4 linked regions of the Sus scrofa genome follow. The main gene of each other region encodes a partner of the protein of the gene in region 4 in a complex. Links are inferred from orthologs where the notes say so. Each region holds a gene or a part of one and is shown on either strand. Other genes may lie near its edges.

Region 1 (3,500 bases), on a different chromosome or scaffold from region 4:
CTCGTGCTGGCTCAGCCTGGGACCCTCCTCACCCGGGCTTCTCTGGGAACCGTGGCCCTCTCCCACCCAGGTCCCAGAGCTGGCTATGGGCTGCGTGTCCTGGGTACCTGTATGCACTCGATAGTGCGTCTCCAGCTGGTGCTTGAGGCTGAACTTCTTGCCACAGCCATTGCACTCGTAGGGTTTCTCGCCCGTGTGGATGCGCTTGTGGCTCTTGAGTGTGCTCTCATCCCGGAAGCAGCTGCCACAGAACTCACACTCATACGGGTGGTCACCTGTGGGGACAAGAGGCTGAATCAGGCCCTCGCCTTCCCCTGCCCCCTCTTTGGGGGACAGCAGGGCACGCTGAGTGCATGGGCAGGGGGTAAGACTGTCTGTACTCACTACCTCCAAAGACAATGTGGCCCTTGCTGCTGGCCCCTGGCATCAACAGGGAGCACACCTGGCCACATGTGTCCATCCCTGACCTTGGCCCAGTGGCCATCCATGCCTCAAGGGCCAGTCTTGGGCAAGAGTCTGTTTGATTCAGGGATGAACAGAACCCCCAGAAAGCAGACCGTCTGAGGGCAGAACAGACCCAGGGGCTTCAAGACCCTGCCCCCAGCTTTCTTGCCCCTAGGAGGTCAGAGGCAAAAGCCATACCAGCCTGACTCTCCTAGCCTCAAAAAAAACCCCTCCAATGTTCTCATTGTCCCCCAAATGCCTTCTGATCTTTCTCTCCTTCCTCCACAGTCTTATGCAGCTGTTCTTGCTGTGTGATTTCCTCTCCTCTCCTTGGTGAATTCCTACTCGCTCATCAAAGCCCAGCTCCCACCACATCACCACGGTTTGGAACTTTCCTTTTAGCGCCATCCTCTGCTGCCCCAGCCCAGGTAAACTGAGTCACTTTCTCCTCTATTCCCAGACAGAAATGCATTTGGTAGCAGGAGTACAATTTTTACCGCACTTTCTAATTAAAGTGACCCACATTTGTTGAGTGCTTTATACTGTGCTAAGAACTTCACACAGATCATATCATGCAATCATCACAACAACCTTACAAGAAAGACAGTATCCTTCTCATCTTACCCATGAGAGAAGTGAGATGTTTAGAGATGCTTCAACGTGGTCCCTAAGGTCAAAGAGCTAGTAAGCAGCTGAGATGGGATTGTGAGTTGGGTTCCGGAGGCTGGGCACTGGCTGCTTAGCAGAATGGTAACTGACATACTGTACTGTATCTCTGGTCACACTCACTGTGCTTCGAGAATGAAAGCACCACGAGGGCCAGAAGGGAGCCTTGCTCATCCCTGGAGCCTTGACACGAAGCACAGGGGCAACACTGAGCAGACGCCCAGGAAATGTCAGGATTTGAAGCTTGGGGAGAGCTGCCTTTCCCCGGCCCGGCCTCTGCGCCCATCAGCCTCCGTTCCGTGCACTCCACCCTGAAGTCTCCTCCCGGGTTAGAAGCTGGGGTGTGGGGGCTCACCATCTCTCCCTTTGCACCCAAAGTGGGGGCTTTGGAGGGATGAAAGGTGAGGGCTTCAGCTACTTATTTATTACAGGAGTGAAGGCACAGACAATAAAGATAGATTGATCACCCCAGACTTTGTTCATGAATATTTAAATATCGCTGATTCGTCTTGTCACTGTAATTACAATTTCTCTGGGCTGCATCTCCAACAACCACAGTTTATGGTAAAGAATGGCCCACTGTATTTCACTTGTCCCTCTGCAGATGTGCGGGGCTGCCAACCGTGTAATGTCCTCTGCATTTCATACATTTTCTTCAGCTGCTGAAGGTTTAAGTCATCCACAATGACCTACGTTTTTTCATTATCCCCATGTCAAACTGCGCTCGTGCCTGGGCATAAATTGTCCTTCTCGTTATAGACTCGCATGCCTGAGCCTTCACTTCCTCTTTAAAATGATATTTTACTCTCTTCTCTCTCCCGTCCTCAGGCCGCTAACCAAACCTCCCCCTTCTCGAAGGTAGACCCCGGTACCCACATACATTCTCATCCCTTCTGATGTCTCTGAAGGGTTTCTAGGGCTCTGTGGGGAGTGAACGCTGGGGTCCGCTCGCTGGCAGGCTCTCTCATGGGTGGAAGATTTGCACGAAGCTCCCAGGGCGTAGAAGGGTGGGTGGGAGCCCGGGTGGGTGGGAGCCCTCCCGTGGAGGAGTCAGAGGGGAGATGCTGAGCAAAGACGTCTCTTGCTCCACACCAGCTCCCACCATGCTGTGGGGCACCGCGCTGGGCTCAGAAGTGAGCCCCACATGCAGATCTGGTGATGAGGCAGGTCCTTGGTGCCCTCGGTTCCTGGCACCTGCCTGCCCCCGGCTGCAGGGACTATGCAGACGGCCTGGCCCCCCGCCACCAGCCCCATCCAACCACAGGAGAGTAGATGCCATGCAGACCCTGGTCCTCATCAGGTGTGCGTCTAACAGGGACGGGCGGGCAGAGCCTGGGCCCAGACGCCACGCTCTCCGTGTAGACATCTGCCCACACGGCCCCGGCTGACAGCCAGCTCCCCCCTCCTCACCGAATCGGCAACGATTACGACTTTAATCAAGGATTCAGTATCCTCATTAAGATAGAAATAAATAAATAAAGCAAGGGCCACGTGAGACTTCAGCCGGAGCCGGTAATTAAAACGTACATCGGCAGCCCGCTCGGCCCGGAGGTGGAGCCGCCGTCTGTGCCTTTCCCCTCCAGAGGGGGGCCCTCGGAGTTGAAAAAACAAAGGGTTAAGGCAGAGGGGTTTGTTTGATCAGATTTTTATGAATTTAATTATGAAGTGGATCACATGTTAAATGAGTTTAAATAGGAAATCTCTAGAGTCAGCCTAGGGAAAGGAATAAATAGAACCTAGGGGAAAAAAAGGACAAGACACCAACACACACACACACACACACACACACACACGCACAGGGATTTTGAAGCACGGTGAGCACCTGGCCTAAAATCCTCACCCTGAGAGTTAATCGTATCAGTGTTGCCATAATGTACACAAAACTGGCTGCAGAACTCAAAATCCAATTTGTGGTATGTTGATTAACTCTGTAGCCTTTTTAATGAGCTTGACATTAAGTGCAGGACAAACGAGACTAATTAGACCCCCTTCCGGCCTGCCCTGTGCACCTGTGACCCCAGGGATCTGTTCTCACCTGGTGGTTTCCCTGGCATCGCGGAGGCCCTGTGTCACCCTCCCCAACCCAGCCCAGCCCCATCCCGTCGGCCCCTCAGCCCCCCAACCCCTTCAACACAGCTGAGAGTTTATTATATGACGAGCCGTGTGAATCAGGGATCCATCAATGCCAAGAGCGCGGCTGGACTAACCTACCAAACACAGCTGCCGATGCTAAACACCCGGCCCCAGCAGCAAATGGGCCAAGAACGACAGAATATTAATGAGGCATTGTGTGGGGGTGGGCTGGCCTGGGTAAGGCTGGGCGCACAGGGCCCACTGGTGTGAAATCGACGCAGGCAGCACACAGGCTCCATGGTTCCCAGATGAGCCAA
Region 2 (3,500 bases), on a different chromosome or scaffold from region 4:
ACCCGCTGAGACACAACAGTAACTCTTTAATTTTTAAAATTATTATTTTAAAATTTTATTTTAATTTAATTTAATTTTTTATTTTTTGGTCTTTTTGTCTTTCTAGACCCACACCCATGGCATTTGGAGGTTCCCAAGCTAGGGGTCCAGTCAGAGCTGTAGTCACCAGCCTATGCCACAGCCATGGCAACACTGGATCCTTAACCCACTGAGAGAGGCCAGGGATCGATCTTGTGTCCTCATGGATGCTAGTCGAGTTCACTAACTGCTGAGCCACAACAGGAACTCTGATTGTTACTTAATTGTGATACATACATAGTGCCATTTTAGGCATTGTTAAGTGTAAGGTCCGGTAGCATTAAGTCTCTTCTCTGAGGAAGCTTTAAAAATTAAAGATGCTTTAACAATTTGATTATTACTAGTTGGGCTGTGAAGGTTTAGTACCGGCCCACAGGTTCACAGAGGGTGGATGTTCTGTGAGGGATGAAGGGCAGAGGGAAGGGGGTTGAGTTGGAGACAGGCCCTGTCCTGCGACCCTCATGGGCTCTGCTCCCTCCTGGCCTCGCCCTGTTCCCAGTTTCTTCCTGCTTTGAACTCCATCTAAACTCCACCCCTGTGCATAGTGGGTGTTGCCACAGTGTCAGTCCACTCCTGCCAAGAATGTCCTGCACCCCACGCAGTCATCCTGTCACCTCAGGCATGTTTAGTTGTTACCAGAGCCTGGGCCCCAGGGTGGGGAAGCCAGGGGGCAAGGGCTGGACTGGGCCTTGTCTTACCTGGGCCGAAGGGTCTGCAGCATGGGGACCCCCAGGGCCCCAGAGCATATCCTCCAAAGGATTGACGGAAGTGCCTTAGATCCACTTCCCCTCCCTTGTCCTAAGAGTTCAGACTCAGGTTGGTTTGGTTAATTAATGGCCGGATGAGGAAGGGTCCCCGGGATGAGGATGGGTCGGCAGTGAAGGAATTCAGTTCAGGCCCGAGAACGTCAAGAAAGACTTTCCTGGGGGTTTCCTTCAGCTCTGAGCTCCAGTAGGTCAAAGGGCAGAGCGTCTCATGTGAATGAGTTCAAGAGGCTGTGGTGCACTTTTCTCACGTGATGGACTCCTCACACTTTCGTTGCCCGGAGTCGAGTGAACCTCCCCCAGCTTCACACCTCACGGGGTGGAGTGGCAGCACGTGGCATCCATTTCTCCAGAGCACTTTGTCCTGCAGGAAAGCATCACCTTTTTACTTTGTGGCCCCTTCCCTGTTCACCTTCCTGAAACGGTTGGCTGAGGGGATCCCCTCCCCAGGACAGGAAAGGGTCCCTGGGACTTGGAACAGTCCCCGAGCCCTGGTCACTGGCGGGTTCTCAGCATCTGGCTGCCCCTGAGCCCTTTGGGCTCCAAAGGGGCTGCACTTGGCTCCTCACGAGCAGACTCCCACTCTGAGAACGGAGGCGACGTTGGGGCCTCTCGGGCAGGAAGAGTGTGGTTTGGGTCCATGAGCACGACGCCCGGGAAGCAAGGAGGCTGGGCTATGATTCACCGGGGGTGGAAAACAGTGTCTGTCTTGAAGCTCCAGCAAGTGAGCTGGAAATGTGAGTCATGTATAATTTTACTAAAATTAACCAGCGGGCTCTTCAGACGTTTGCTGTGTGTTTCAGTGTCTTTTCTGCTGCGCGATGCCCACCGTGTCCTGCCTGTGGTGGCCTGCTCCCCCGAGTCCCGTCCTCAGGGCCACTGGGTGTGGCTGTGAGCACAGGTGACACACCTCCGGCGCTGACTCTGCCATGCTTCCGTCGCCACGTGGGAGCCTGATGCCCCAGCCCCGGCCTTCCTGTCCTCCCCAGATCACGGGTCTAGGAGAAAGCAGTGCCATGTGTTCCTCCCTGGGACCCGCGGGATGGGCTGGGTGGACACTGGGTGAATATCGTGGAGTCGGGACTGGGCGGAGGTAGACTGACAACAAAGCTCGCACCTCTGTCCCTAAGCCTGCTTGGGCCCCAAAACCTCACTTTTTGGGGGAGGGAGGGGAGACTGTGTCAGGGAAGCACAATTTACATAGTTTGTCATACATTGCATTTTATTTTACTCCAATTTAGAAAGAAAGCTGATACTGAAAGTGAGTCTGTAACGGTGGGGTCTTTCACACTCTGAGAATTCAGATACTTAGTCATAAACATCCGTCCGGTAAACGCCAGGCCCTCTCCCATAGGCCTGAAACCCCTCAGGCGGGCATGGCACTTCTGTGAGGTTCTGCGGGAAATCGGCGCTCGAGATCACAGCCGCGGAGACTCTGCCGTCAAGGCCTGTGACGCCTTCTGAATCATCATGGGAAGGCCTGTGGCTTGTGTGGAGTGCTTCTTCTGGACTCTGACCAGAACCCGCTCCATGGTGGTCCCAGTGGCTGGCCGTGTACCATGTAATTGCCTCCAAGTCCTCCTGCAGAGCAGACCGGAGAGTAAAGGGAAGAAATGCTGTGCCTTTGCAGTTAGTTCCTCTGTAGCTGATGAACTATGTTTGCGGCAGATTTGGTTCCGCTAATGCTCACAGATCCCCTGCCCTGTACCAGTGCAGTCCTTTATGTTTGTATAATGGCCCCTCCCCACTGAGACCCTCCGAGGCAGCTCTTTTGACCAGGACACCCCCGTCTGTGGCCTCTAAGAGCCGCTGAGGCTTGCGAGGGCCTCACCCCCAAGCCCCTGCCACCTGACAGGCACGTGCTCCATCTGCAGGGTGGCTCCTCTGGGGAGGGGTGGTTATGGGGTCTTCCCAGTGCTGTTGGGGAGACCTCATGCGCTGAGGCTGGTGAGGCCTGGAGCAGGAGCCGGCGTGTGGGAGGCATCGGCTGCTTTGGCATCATCACCGCCTTCATCCTTGGTAATGGCAGGTTCTTGTCAAACCAAGCCAGCCTCAAGCACACAGGTGAGGTCTCAGGGCTGTTAGCCAGGGAGTTGTAGAAGCACTCTGATGGGCCGCTGCCTTCGTCTGGATGGCCCCCTGGAGCCGATTCGGGCCTGGGAAGGTTCTTCACCCAGCGCCAACCTGGGCGAGCATCCTGGCTCTTCAATACCAACTAGCTGTTTGACCCACACCTCAGAAAACGGGGCGATAGTGGTGTGGGACTTCTCCACAGCAAGGTGGGGGGCGATGGGATGGGTGAGAGCGCCTGGCTGTGGTCGAAGGCCCCTTCGCCCATGGAAGCTTCAGGTTCCCACCTGAGCGCTCACTCCTCTTTTCAGGAGCAAGACTGCCAATGGAGACTGCCGGAAAGACCCCCGGGAGCGGAGCCGCAGCCCCATCGAGCGCGCCGCGGCCCCCACCATGAGCCTGCACGGCAGCCACCTGTACACGTCCCTCCCCAGCCTCAGCATGGAGCAGCCCCTCGCACTGACCAAGAACAGCCTAGACACCAGCAGGCCAGCCGGCATCTCACCCACCCTGACCCCAGTGGAGCGGCAGCAGGTATGTCTTTGTTCTGTGGCGCTCGGCTGGTGGCTGGTAGTGGGTCCAGGCGCC
Region 3 (3,963 bases), on a different chromosome or scaffold from region 4:
GCCGTTGCCGTAAGCTGTGGTGTAGGTTGCAGACATGGCTCAGATCTCACGTTGCTGTGGCTGTGGTGTAGGCTGGCAGTTACAGCTCCGATTCGACCCTTAGCCTGGGAACCTCCATACGCAGAAGATTCAGCCCTAAAAAGACAAAAAAAAAAAAAAAAAAAAAAAAAAGACTCCCTCCATTGTCACAGCAGCTTTGGGCTTAGCTTGTGTCCTTGACTCTTACTACCTATGTGACCTTGAGTCAAGGCATCTTCCTTTTAGGTCTCCATTTCCTCCTGTGAACTGGAGAGACATCCCCACCCTGAGCACAACTCGATGAGTGAAGAAGTGAATTCATCATGCACATTCAGCACAGTGTCAGCTCAGGGGGGGAGCCCCCATCAAGTACCTCTAGGCTTGAAAGGGGGACAGTTACTGGTCACAAGAAAGGGCACTCTGCCAGTCCTATCCCACGATAGTGCTCAGGTACCCACAGACAAAGCCAGGCAAGATGCCCATTAAAAATTTAACTATATATCATATTCATTTATTATCAGTCCACAGGATAATTTGATTGCTACATGAGCTCATAAAAGCTTTTTCAACTTTACAAAATTAAAAAAAAAATGTGCCACAAGGATGTAATAACAATTGCCGATAAACAAGAAAAGGAATCTTAAAATTATAAATTTGCTGTAGAAAAGATAAAAAACAATTATATCTTCTTTAGAATTTTACCTTGAATAAAATATTCCCCTGTATAAAAAATAAAAAAGCTTGCTCTGGTTAGAATTAGAGTATTTTCGTCTTCAAATCTGGGAATTTGAATAATCTCTCCATGATAGTTTTTCTTTGTACCGCGTGGCATTCAAGCATAGCAGATTAGAAAGATTTTCTTTTTTCTTTTTTTTTTTTTTTTAAAGCAGTCTGAAAATGGGACATCTGCGGAGAAGTTCATTTTCTTCTCCTCCTCCTCAGGGATGTGGGACACAGCCTTTGAAGGGAGAAAAAAGGAGGAAGGAAATGGGAGGGGAGGGGAGGAGGGCAGGGAAGGGGGTGTTGACGGTGCTGTGAAACAGAGCAAGATCACAAGAAGGTCTGTCTGTAAGTGCTTTAAGATAAGGTGCAGAAGCAGACTGCAACGTCGCTAGTACTGCCCTATGTACATATTCACAAGAATAAAAAATTCTAGCTAGTTCACATTTTCTCATCCATTCTGAGGCATCCACGCCACCACGCTGGCCTTGACCGCAGGCAATGCAGCACCTCACTGCCCGTGTGGGTGTTGGTCCTATGACGTTCTTGAACTTGAGGGAGCAGCCCTGGGAGATCCAGCAGGCTCTAGAGATCACGCGTCTACCAAGGGGCTGGAGTCCTGAGTTCAAAAGAAGCTCCAGTACTGGAGTTGGACACAGCAATCAATGTTCTAATGTCAAGGCTTTTTCCCTTAAGATTTGTCTAAAACAGATGTCAGAGAGAAAAATAAAATACAAACAAACAATAAAACAAAGCCAAGAAATCCCAACAACCACCAGGGGAAGTCAAAGGCTTAACAGCTCTTGACGCGGGCCTGGGTGACGTCGGATGTCTTCTTGATGACACTGGCCCGGGTCTCCCGGTCCGGCCGACTGCTGCTGGGCGCCGGGGTCCCGGGGGCTGTGAGGGGGAGGTCTGGGAACGGGGGCCAGGAGCTGTTGTAAGGCACCGGACAGCTCTCCTCTTTGACAGTGACCTGGAGGTCGGGCTTGTTGGAAGTGACGAAGGTTGCCATGCTGGGCAGCAGGTAGGCGGTCCGCGTCCCCATGTTGCTGAGGTACTGCTTGCCTTCAATGTTCCTCTTCCGCCAGTGAGGTCGGCCCTTCCAAGGACAAGAATCAAGATACGTCTATTTGCCTGGCCTTCTCTGTATGGCTTTTTAAAAAAATGTACCATGGGTGTTCCCACTGCGGCTCAACGGAAATGAATCTGACTAGAACCCATGAGGACGCAGGTTCGATCCCTGGCCTCGCTCAGTGAGTTAAAGATCTGGCGTTGCCATGAGCTGTGGTCCAGGTCGCAGGTGCAGCTTGGATCCTTCGTTGCTGTGGCTGTGGTGTAAGGCTGGCGGCTGCGGCTCCAATTCGACCCCTAGCCTGGGAACCTCCACATGCCGCAAGGGCAGCCCTAAAAAAGACAACAAAGAAAAAGAGAAAAAGAAGCACCATGTTTCCCAGGTGTCGGTGCCTGAATTTCTCAAGGGGCGTGGACCAAAGAAACAGCTTAGCAACTGTCTCCAGGTCCCTGGACTGAAACCCTCCCCCAGCTCTGTACACCCCCGGCCATGGCCTCTTCCCTTTTTATCAAGGCCATCTGCCACCTCCCAGAAACCTAGCCAAGACTGTTCTATGAGGGCAGGAAACAAGGCAGCAACTTGGGTTTCTGGTTCCCTCTACTCTAGCTGCTCGGCCTCATCATTAGGGAGCTCAGAGCTGGACTACTGGTGTGTGTCACGGAGGATGGCTCCTCACAGCTGGCCTCCGACCTTGGAGTCAAGGTTTTCAGAGGGAGGGAATGCCCCCAGATTGCTTTCAAATGGCTTGGAGCTTAGGGCTTCAGCGTGCAGGCAAGTAGCTGGCCTTGAGGATGGCTTTGTTCAGAGAAGGAGCTGGAATACTGACCTTGAAGAAACAGGGTCCGGATATACATAGGTTCCTGCAACTACTGTCTTTTCAGAATTCCTGGCCTATACTTGAAAGTATTTAGTACATCGGGAAATCACTAATCCAAACAACCACTACTCAACTTCTCTCTCTCCCCTCCATTCCTCACAGGCAGACACAGAGCAGGCTTTGCAGGAATGCTTTCCATCACCATTATAGCCATTTCCTGCCCTTTTCCCAGCTGAGAGGAGGGAGATCAGAAGAGGAGACTCAGAATCCAGACCAACACACACCTGGCTTCTGGGCAGGATCACAGAGGGTGGGGACTCCAGGTATGTGGGGGTGGGGTGCTACTTTTGCTTAGCACTGCCTGATGTGAGCTTTGGCCACTTGGACCTTCTATTTCTGCTTGGGCCTCAGGATGTTTATGGTGGTAAGATTATCAACGTTTCCTGGCCTTTTCCTGCCATCCTCCAGCCTCCTTTCGCATGGTAACATTTTCGCTCCCATGCAGTCCCCTGAGTTTCATTTCATAATTTGAAATCCAAAAGCACTGTAAATCTTATGTTATATTTTACCACCACCACCACCAAAAAAAAACAAAAATCCCAAAGGGAAACTCTTGATCGAAAAGAAAAAAACCTAACTAGCAGCTAGGAACCCAAAGTGCTGGTTGAGAAGCCCCCCTGACTCCCCCCCAGGCACCCCCTCCCCCCAGCATCTGCTGGAGTCAGTGTGGTCGCCGTACTTACCTCTGAGCTCTCTTCATCACTGGGCACACTATCGGTAGTTTCGCTTTCTGTTCAGAGAGAAAAACACACAGGGCCATCATTCCTGCCCTCCACACCGTCTCGAGGCTCAGGCAGCATTTGAAAAACTAGATCAGCACTTCTTTCATGGACAGAGAAATGGGTCACTATACCCTTAACCTCTGTCCGCTTTGTCAGGGCAAATGCTGGCGCCTAGGAGATGCCGGGACAGCATTTTCTGTCTCTAACTTTTGGGCCTTTGGAGAAAAGTTTGAGGGTTGAGGGGTAGCTCATCTGCTCTGGGCCAGGCTACAGGCAGTCATGGCCTCTGCTCCCCAGGATGGGGTTTGGGCCCTGTGGTGAATCTGCCTCCGCCCCCCAGGCCCTAGGCTGGCCGGTCCTTACCGCCCCACACCACTCTCCTCTCCCAGGTAGCTCGTTTCAGTCCCAGCCCGGTCTTTGCAGATGAGCCACGCTCTCTGCTCAGGCCCCTCCTTTCCCTCTCTGCTGCTCCAGTCCTGGGACATCTGGATTTATAAAGTGGCATCCTCCTGCTGGGTTACTGTGGGTGGGCAGATTCCAGGGTGGCTCTG
Region 4 (4,284 bases):
GGTGACGCGGCCGCGTTGGCCGCTGACCCCGGATCCCTGGAATGTGCATTCGTTCAATGGGGCCGCCAGTGCCAGCGGCGCCGAGTCACGTCCGCGCGGAGCGTGCGCACTCGGTGGCGGCGCACGCGGCCCCGCGCCCACGTCACGCGCCCGCCGCGCGGGCCTGCAGCAGGCGACCGGGATCCCCGCGTGGCCCGGCGGGCTGCGGACTGGGGAAGAGGGGGATCGGAACCTCCTCGGGCAGCGTACCCGCTCGCTCCCGGAAGGGCTCCGTAGAAGGGCGGGTGGACGCGGCCCTAGGCTTGGGCGCGCACCCTCCTGTTGTAAAAGTTTAGGGGACCGGCGGCGCGTGTGTCCTTCCCAAGACATGCGGGTGTAAAAGCACTCACCGAGGAGTTCAAATAAAGCTCCTTACAAAACTGTGAACAGCACTTGACTGAAAATCCCCATCCTCAAGATGCTACTAACAGAACCAGGTTACAGAGTGGCCTGGCTTTTCAAAACATGAGTTCTAGCACGGTTTGGCTCAAACAGCCCTAGACGAGAAGGAACTGCCTGAGCAGTCGAGGGAGCCGAGCGGGTGGAGGAAAGCAAGCCACACCAGCGACGGCTTCACGTCGGGGACACGAGCCGCGGCGCAGGCGGGTGGTGCTGACCCGCGGGCGGGCGCCGCGGAGCCGGCTCTCCCGGCAGCGCTCGTTCTCTGGCGGGGGGAGGGGGAGGGAGCGGGGGAGGGCGGGCGCGCGCGCGCGAGGGGAGGGGGCCCGCGCAGGCGCCTTGCGAGGCTGTCGAAGAATCAAGTCTGTAGAAGTGGAGCGGCCGCGGCGGCAGCAGCAGCAGCGACGGCGGCGGCGGAGCTGAGGCGGGCTGGGCGCTGAGGCGGGCGCTGGAGAGCGGCGACGCCAGGAGCTGTGAGAGAGCAGCGGAGCGACCCGGGCCCGTGCCGCGCCCGAGCTCCACGCCGCACGGCCGCCGCCGCCGCCGCCCCGGCGCGGCATGCCCCGCCGCTCGGGCTGAGCCTGCCCCGGCGGCCGCCCCCCGCCCCCCGCCCCCCCGGCCTCCCCGCCCCCCGCCCCGCACTCCGCGCCGGCCGCCGCCGCGACCTGCTGCGCTCCCCCGCGCCCGCGCGGCCCGTCTTCGCCCCGGTCTGGAGGCCCGCCGCGGCCCCGGCCGAGCCCCCGCCGCCGCCGCCGCCGCCGCGCCCGCCGCGCCGCGCCGCCCCGCCGCCCACCCGCGCCCGCGCCGGCCGGGGGGACGTGCTGCCGCGGCTGCAACCCCTCGCCCCGCGCCCGCCGCCCCTCGTGCACCGGGGGCGCTGCGCGGGCGCCGATCCTTCGCGGGCTTTGCCGCCGCCGCCGCCTTTGCGGCCGCCGCCGCCGCTGGTGGGGGAGACGCGGGGTTGGGGGGGGAGGAGGGCGCGCGTGGTGCCGGCGGGGAGCGGCGGCGCCCCCTCCTCCTCCTCCGGCGCCGCGGGCTCCTCGGACATGGCCGCGGCGGTGGCGGTGGCGGCCGCGTCCCGGCGGCAGTCGTGCTACCTGTGTGACCTGCCCCGCATGCCCTGGGCCATGATCTGGGACTTCACGGAGCCCGTGTGCCGCGGCTGCGTCAACTACGAGGGCGCCGACCGCGTCGAGTTCGTCATCGAGACGGCGCGGCAGCTCAAGCGGGCGCACGGCTGCTTCCCGGAGGGCCGCTCCCCGCCCGGCGCCGCGGCTCCGGCCGCCGCTAAGCCGCCGCCGCTCTCCGCCAAGGACCTTCTCCTGCAGCAGCAGCAGCAGCTCGGCCACGGCGGCCCCGAGGCCACCGCGCGCGCCCCGCAGGCCCTGGAGCGCTACCCTCTGGCAGCCGCCGCAGCCGAGCGGCCCCCGCGCCTCGGCTCCGATTTCAGCGGTAGCCGCCCGGCGGCCGGTCTGGCCCAGCCGCCAACGCCGCAGCCGCCGCCCGTGAACGGCATCCTGGTGCCCAACGGCTTCTCCAAGCTGGAGGAGCCGCCGGAGCTGAACCGCCAGAGCCCTAACCCGCGGCGCGGCCACGCCGTGCCTCCCACCCTGGTGCCGCTCATGAACGGCTCGACCACGCCGCTGCCCGCCGCTCTTGGCCTGGGCGGTCGCGCCGCCGCCTCACTGGCCGCCGTGTCCGGGGCCGCGGCTGCCGGGCTGGGCTCGGCGCAGCCGGCCGAACTGGGCGCCCACAAGCGGCCGGCGTCCGTGACGAGCAGCGCGTCGGCGGAGCACGAGCAGCGCGAGGCGGCAGCCAAGGAGAAGCAGCCGCCGCCGACCTCGCACCGCGGCCCGGCAGACAGCTTGACCACCGCGGCCGGGGCGGCCGAGCTGGGCACGGAGGGCGCGGGCAAGGGCCGCGGGCCCGGCGATCAGGACTGGGTCAACAGGCCCAAGACGGTTCGAGACACGCTGCTGGCGCTGCACCAGCACGGCCACTCGGGGCCCTTCGAGAGCAAGTTTAAGAAGGAGCCGGCCCTGACTGCAGGCAGGTTGTTGGGTTTCGAGGCCAACGGGGCCAACGGGTCTAAAGCAGGTAGGGGCGGCTGTGGAGTGAGGTGATCTCGGGGCGAAGAGGGGACGGAGAGCAGAGGAGGGGGTGCCCTTCCCATTCACCATTTCTCCCCCGGCCGGCCCAGAAACAACAAACACCCAACTTCCTGATTTGCCCGAGGCGGAACCAGTGCTTAGTGGCAACGTGTTCCTGTGCTGAAGTAGCACAACAGAGATGAGTCAGACCGGGCTGATAGGCACTGACACCGGGTTTTCCTTTCCCAGCACATTCTTGGAGGAGAGCAGGAGAGCACCAGTCACCTTTTAACCTGCTGGGGGACGTTAGCAGTCGTATGCCCGGTTTAGCCGGGCTACATGCTTGCGTGTGTCAGAATAGGCCGTTGTGTAGGAATCGTTTTCTGTGGCTTTTGTGTTTTTGAGTGGCATACTGCCTCAGCCCTGTAAGTTAAGTGTTTTAAGTTACACGTGCTCTTGAAAGCTCACGTGAGTTTTTATCTACCAGCTTTCAGAGAATAAAAATGCTTTAGCGAATTTTGTTTCATGTTAGTAAAAGGCCTTTCCGGTGCACCTTTATTTATTTTCTCTTTTCCCTTTTATTTCTCTTTTTCCAGTTGCAAGAACTGCAAGGAAAAGGAAGCCTTCACCAGAACCAGAAGGTGAAGTCGGGCCCCCTAAGATCAATGGAGAGGCACAGCCCTGGCTGTCCACATCCACTGAAGGGCTCAAGATCCCCATTACGCCTACATCCTCTTTTGTGTCTCCACCACCACCCACTGCCTCACCTCATTCCAACCGGACCACACCGCCTGAAGCGGCCCAGAACGGCCAGTCCCCCATGGCAGCCCTGATCTTAGTTGCAGACAATGCTGGAGGCAGTCATGCCTCTAAAGATGCCAATCAGGTGCACTCCACCACGAGGAGGAACAGCAGCAGTCCACCGTCTCCGTCCTCTATGAACCAAAGAAGGCTGGGCCCCAGAGAGGTAGGGGGCCAGGGGGCAGGCAGCACAGGAGGACTGGAGCCAGTGCACCCCGCCAGCCTCCCGGACTCCTCTCTGGCAGCCAGTGCCCCGCTGTGCTGCACCCTCTGCCACGAGCGGCTGGAGGACACCCACTTTGTGCAGTGCCCGTCCGTTCCTTCGCACAAGTTCTGCTTCCCTTGCTCCAGACAAAGCATCAAACAGCAGGGAGCTAGTGGAGAGGTCTATTGTCCCAGTGGGGAAAAATGCCCTCTTGTGGGCTCCAATGTCCCCTGGGCCTTCATGCAAGGGGAAATTGCAACCATCCTTGCTGGAGATGTGAAAGTGAAAAAAGAGAGAGACTCTTGACTTTCCGGTTTGAGAAAAACCCAATGATTACCCTTAACTAAAACTGCTTGAATTGTATATATCTCCATATATATAAATATATATATATATATACACACATATATATATATATATCCAAGACAAGGGAAATGTAGACTTCATAAACATGGCTGTATAATTTTGATTTTTTTTGAATACATTGTGTTTCTATTTTTTTTTTGACGACAAAAGGTATGTACTTATAAAGGCATTTTCTTCTTTTGTTAACGTTATTAGCATATCTTTGTGCTTTATCCTGGTTACCTTTCAATGTAGGCTGTGACTTGCGCTGCTTTTTTAGGGCACTTGGCAAATCAGAACTGCTTCTAGCTGTATTTGTATGCACTTATTTTAAAAAGAAAAAAAAAAGCCAAATACATTTTCTGACATTGTAAGATTGCCTTACCGTCTGTTATTCCTTATTGC

Evidence for each region. Proteins that work in one complex are often made in the same cells at the same time.
Region 1: the proteins of IRF2BP2 (region 4) and ZBTB16 are in contact, whole or in part, in a crystal structure (PDB 8YTH), measured with the Homo sapiens proteins. The link is inferred for Sus scrofa from reciprocal best matches to the Homo sapiens genes IRF2BP2 and ZBTB16. Residues at the interface, in NP_892017.2 of Homo sapiens: Thr516, His517, Phe518, Val519, Gln520, Pro522, Phe531, Leu557, Trp564, Ala565, Phe566, Met567, Glu570, Thr573, Ile574; in NP_001018011.1 of Homo sapiens: Arg285, Ser287, Val288, Ile289, Thr290, Ser291.
Region 2: the proteins of IRF2BP2 (region 4) and VGLL4 are in contact, whole or in part, in a crystal structure (PDB 8YTF), measured with the Homo sapiens proteins. The link is inferred for Sus scrofa from reciprocal best matches to the Homo sapiens genes IRF2BP2 and VGLL4. Residues at the interface, in NP_892017.2 of Homo sapiens: Thr516, His517, Phe518, Val519, Gln520, Pro522, Phe531, Leu557, Trp564, Ala565, Phe566, Met567, Glu570, Thr573, Ile574; in NP_055482.2 of Homo sapiens: Arg161, Ser163, Val164, Ile165, Thr166.
Region 3: the proteins of IRF2BP2 (region 4) and IRF2 are in contact, whole or in part, in a crystal structure (PDB 8YTG), measured with the Homo sapiens proteins. The link is inferred for Sus scrofa from reciprocal best matches to the Homo sapiens genes IRF2BP2 and IRF2. Residues at the interface, in NP_892017.2 of Homo sapiens: His517, Phe518, Val519, Gln520, Pro522, Phe531, Leu557, Trp564, Ala565, Phe566, Met567, Glu570, Thr573, Ile574; in NP_002190.2 of Homo sapiens: Arg331, Ala332, Ser333, Val334, Ile335, Lys336.

The regions. Positions count from the first base shown.
Region 1 is NC_010451.4:41,828,036-41,831,535, reverse strand, and holds part of ZBTB16 (zinc finger and BTB domain-containing protein 16), read right to left. Parts: intron 276-3,500; coding exon 108-275; intron 1-107. UniProt on the Homo sapiens protein: Acts as a transcriptional repressor. Transcriptional repression may be mediated through recruitment of histone deacetylases to target promoters. May play a role in myeloid maturation and in the development and/or maintenance of other differentiated tissues.
Region 2 is NC_010455.5:67,706,207-67,709,706, reverse strand, and holds part of VGLL4 (transcription cofactor vestigial-like protein 4), read left to right. Parts: intron 1-3,223; coding exon 3,224-3,446; intron 3,447-3,500. UniProt on the Homo sapiens protein: May act as a specific coactivator for the mammalian TEFs.
Region 3 is NC_010457.5:45,546,279-45,550,241, forward strand, and holds the end of IRF2 (interferon regulatory factor 2), read right to left. Parts: intron 3,421-3,963; coding exon 3,374-3,420; intron 1,841-3,373; coding exon 1,532-1,840; 3' UTR 501-1,531; downstream 1-500. UniProt on the Homo sapiens protein: Specifically binds to the upstream regulatory region of type I IFN and IFN-inducible MHC class I genes (the interferon consensus sequence (ICS)) and represses those genes. Also acts as an activator for several genes including H4 and IL7.
Region 4 is NC_010456.5:56,544,400-56,548,683, forward strand, and holds the start of IRF2BP2 (interferon regulatory factor 2-binding protein 2), read left to right. Parts: upstream 1-1,484; coding exon 1,485-2,535; intron 2,536-3,124; coding exon 3,125-3,840; 3' UTR 3,841-4,284. Other genes in the region: uncharacterized protein LOC110256820, read right to left, coding at 613-1,019, 1,081-1,486. UniProt on the Homo sapiens protein: Acts as a transcriptional corepressor in a IRF2-dependent manner; this repression is not mediated by histone deacetylase activities. Represses the NFAT1-dependent transactivation of NFAT-responsive promoters.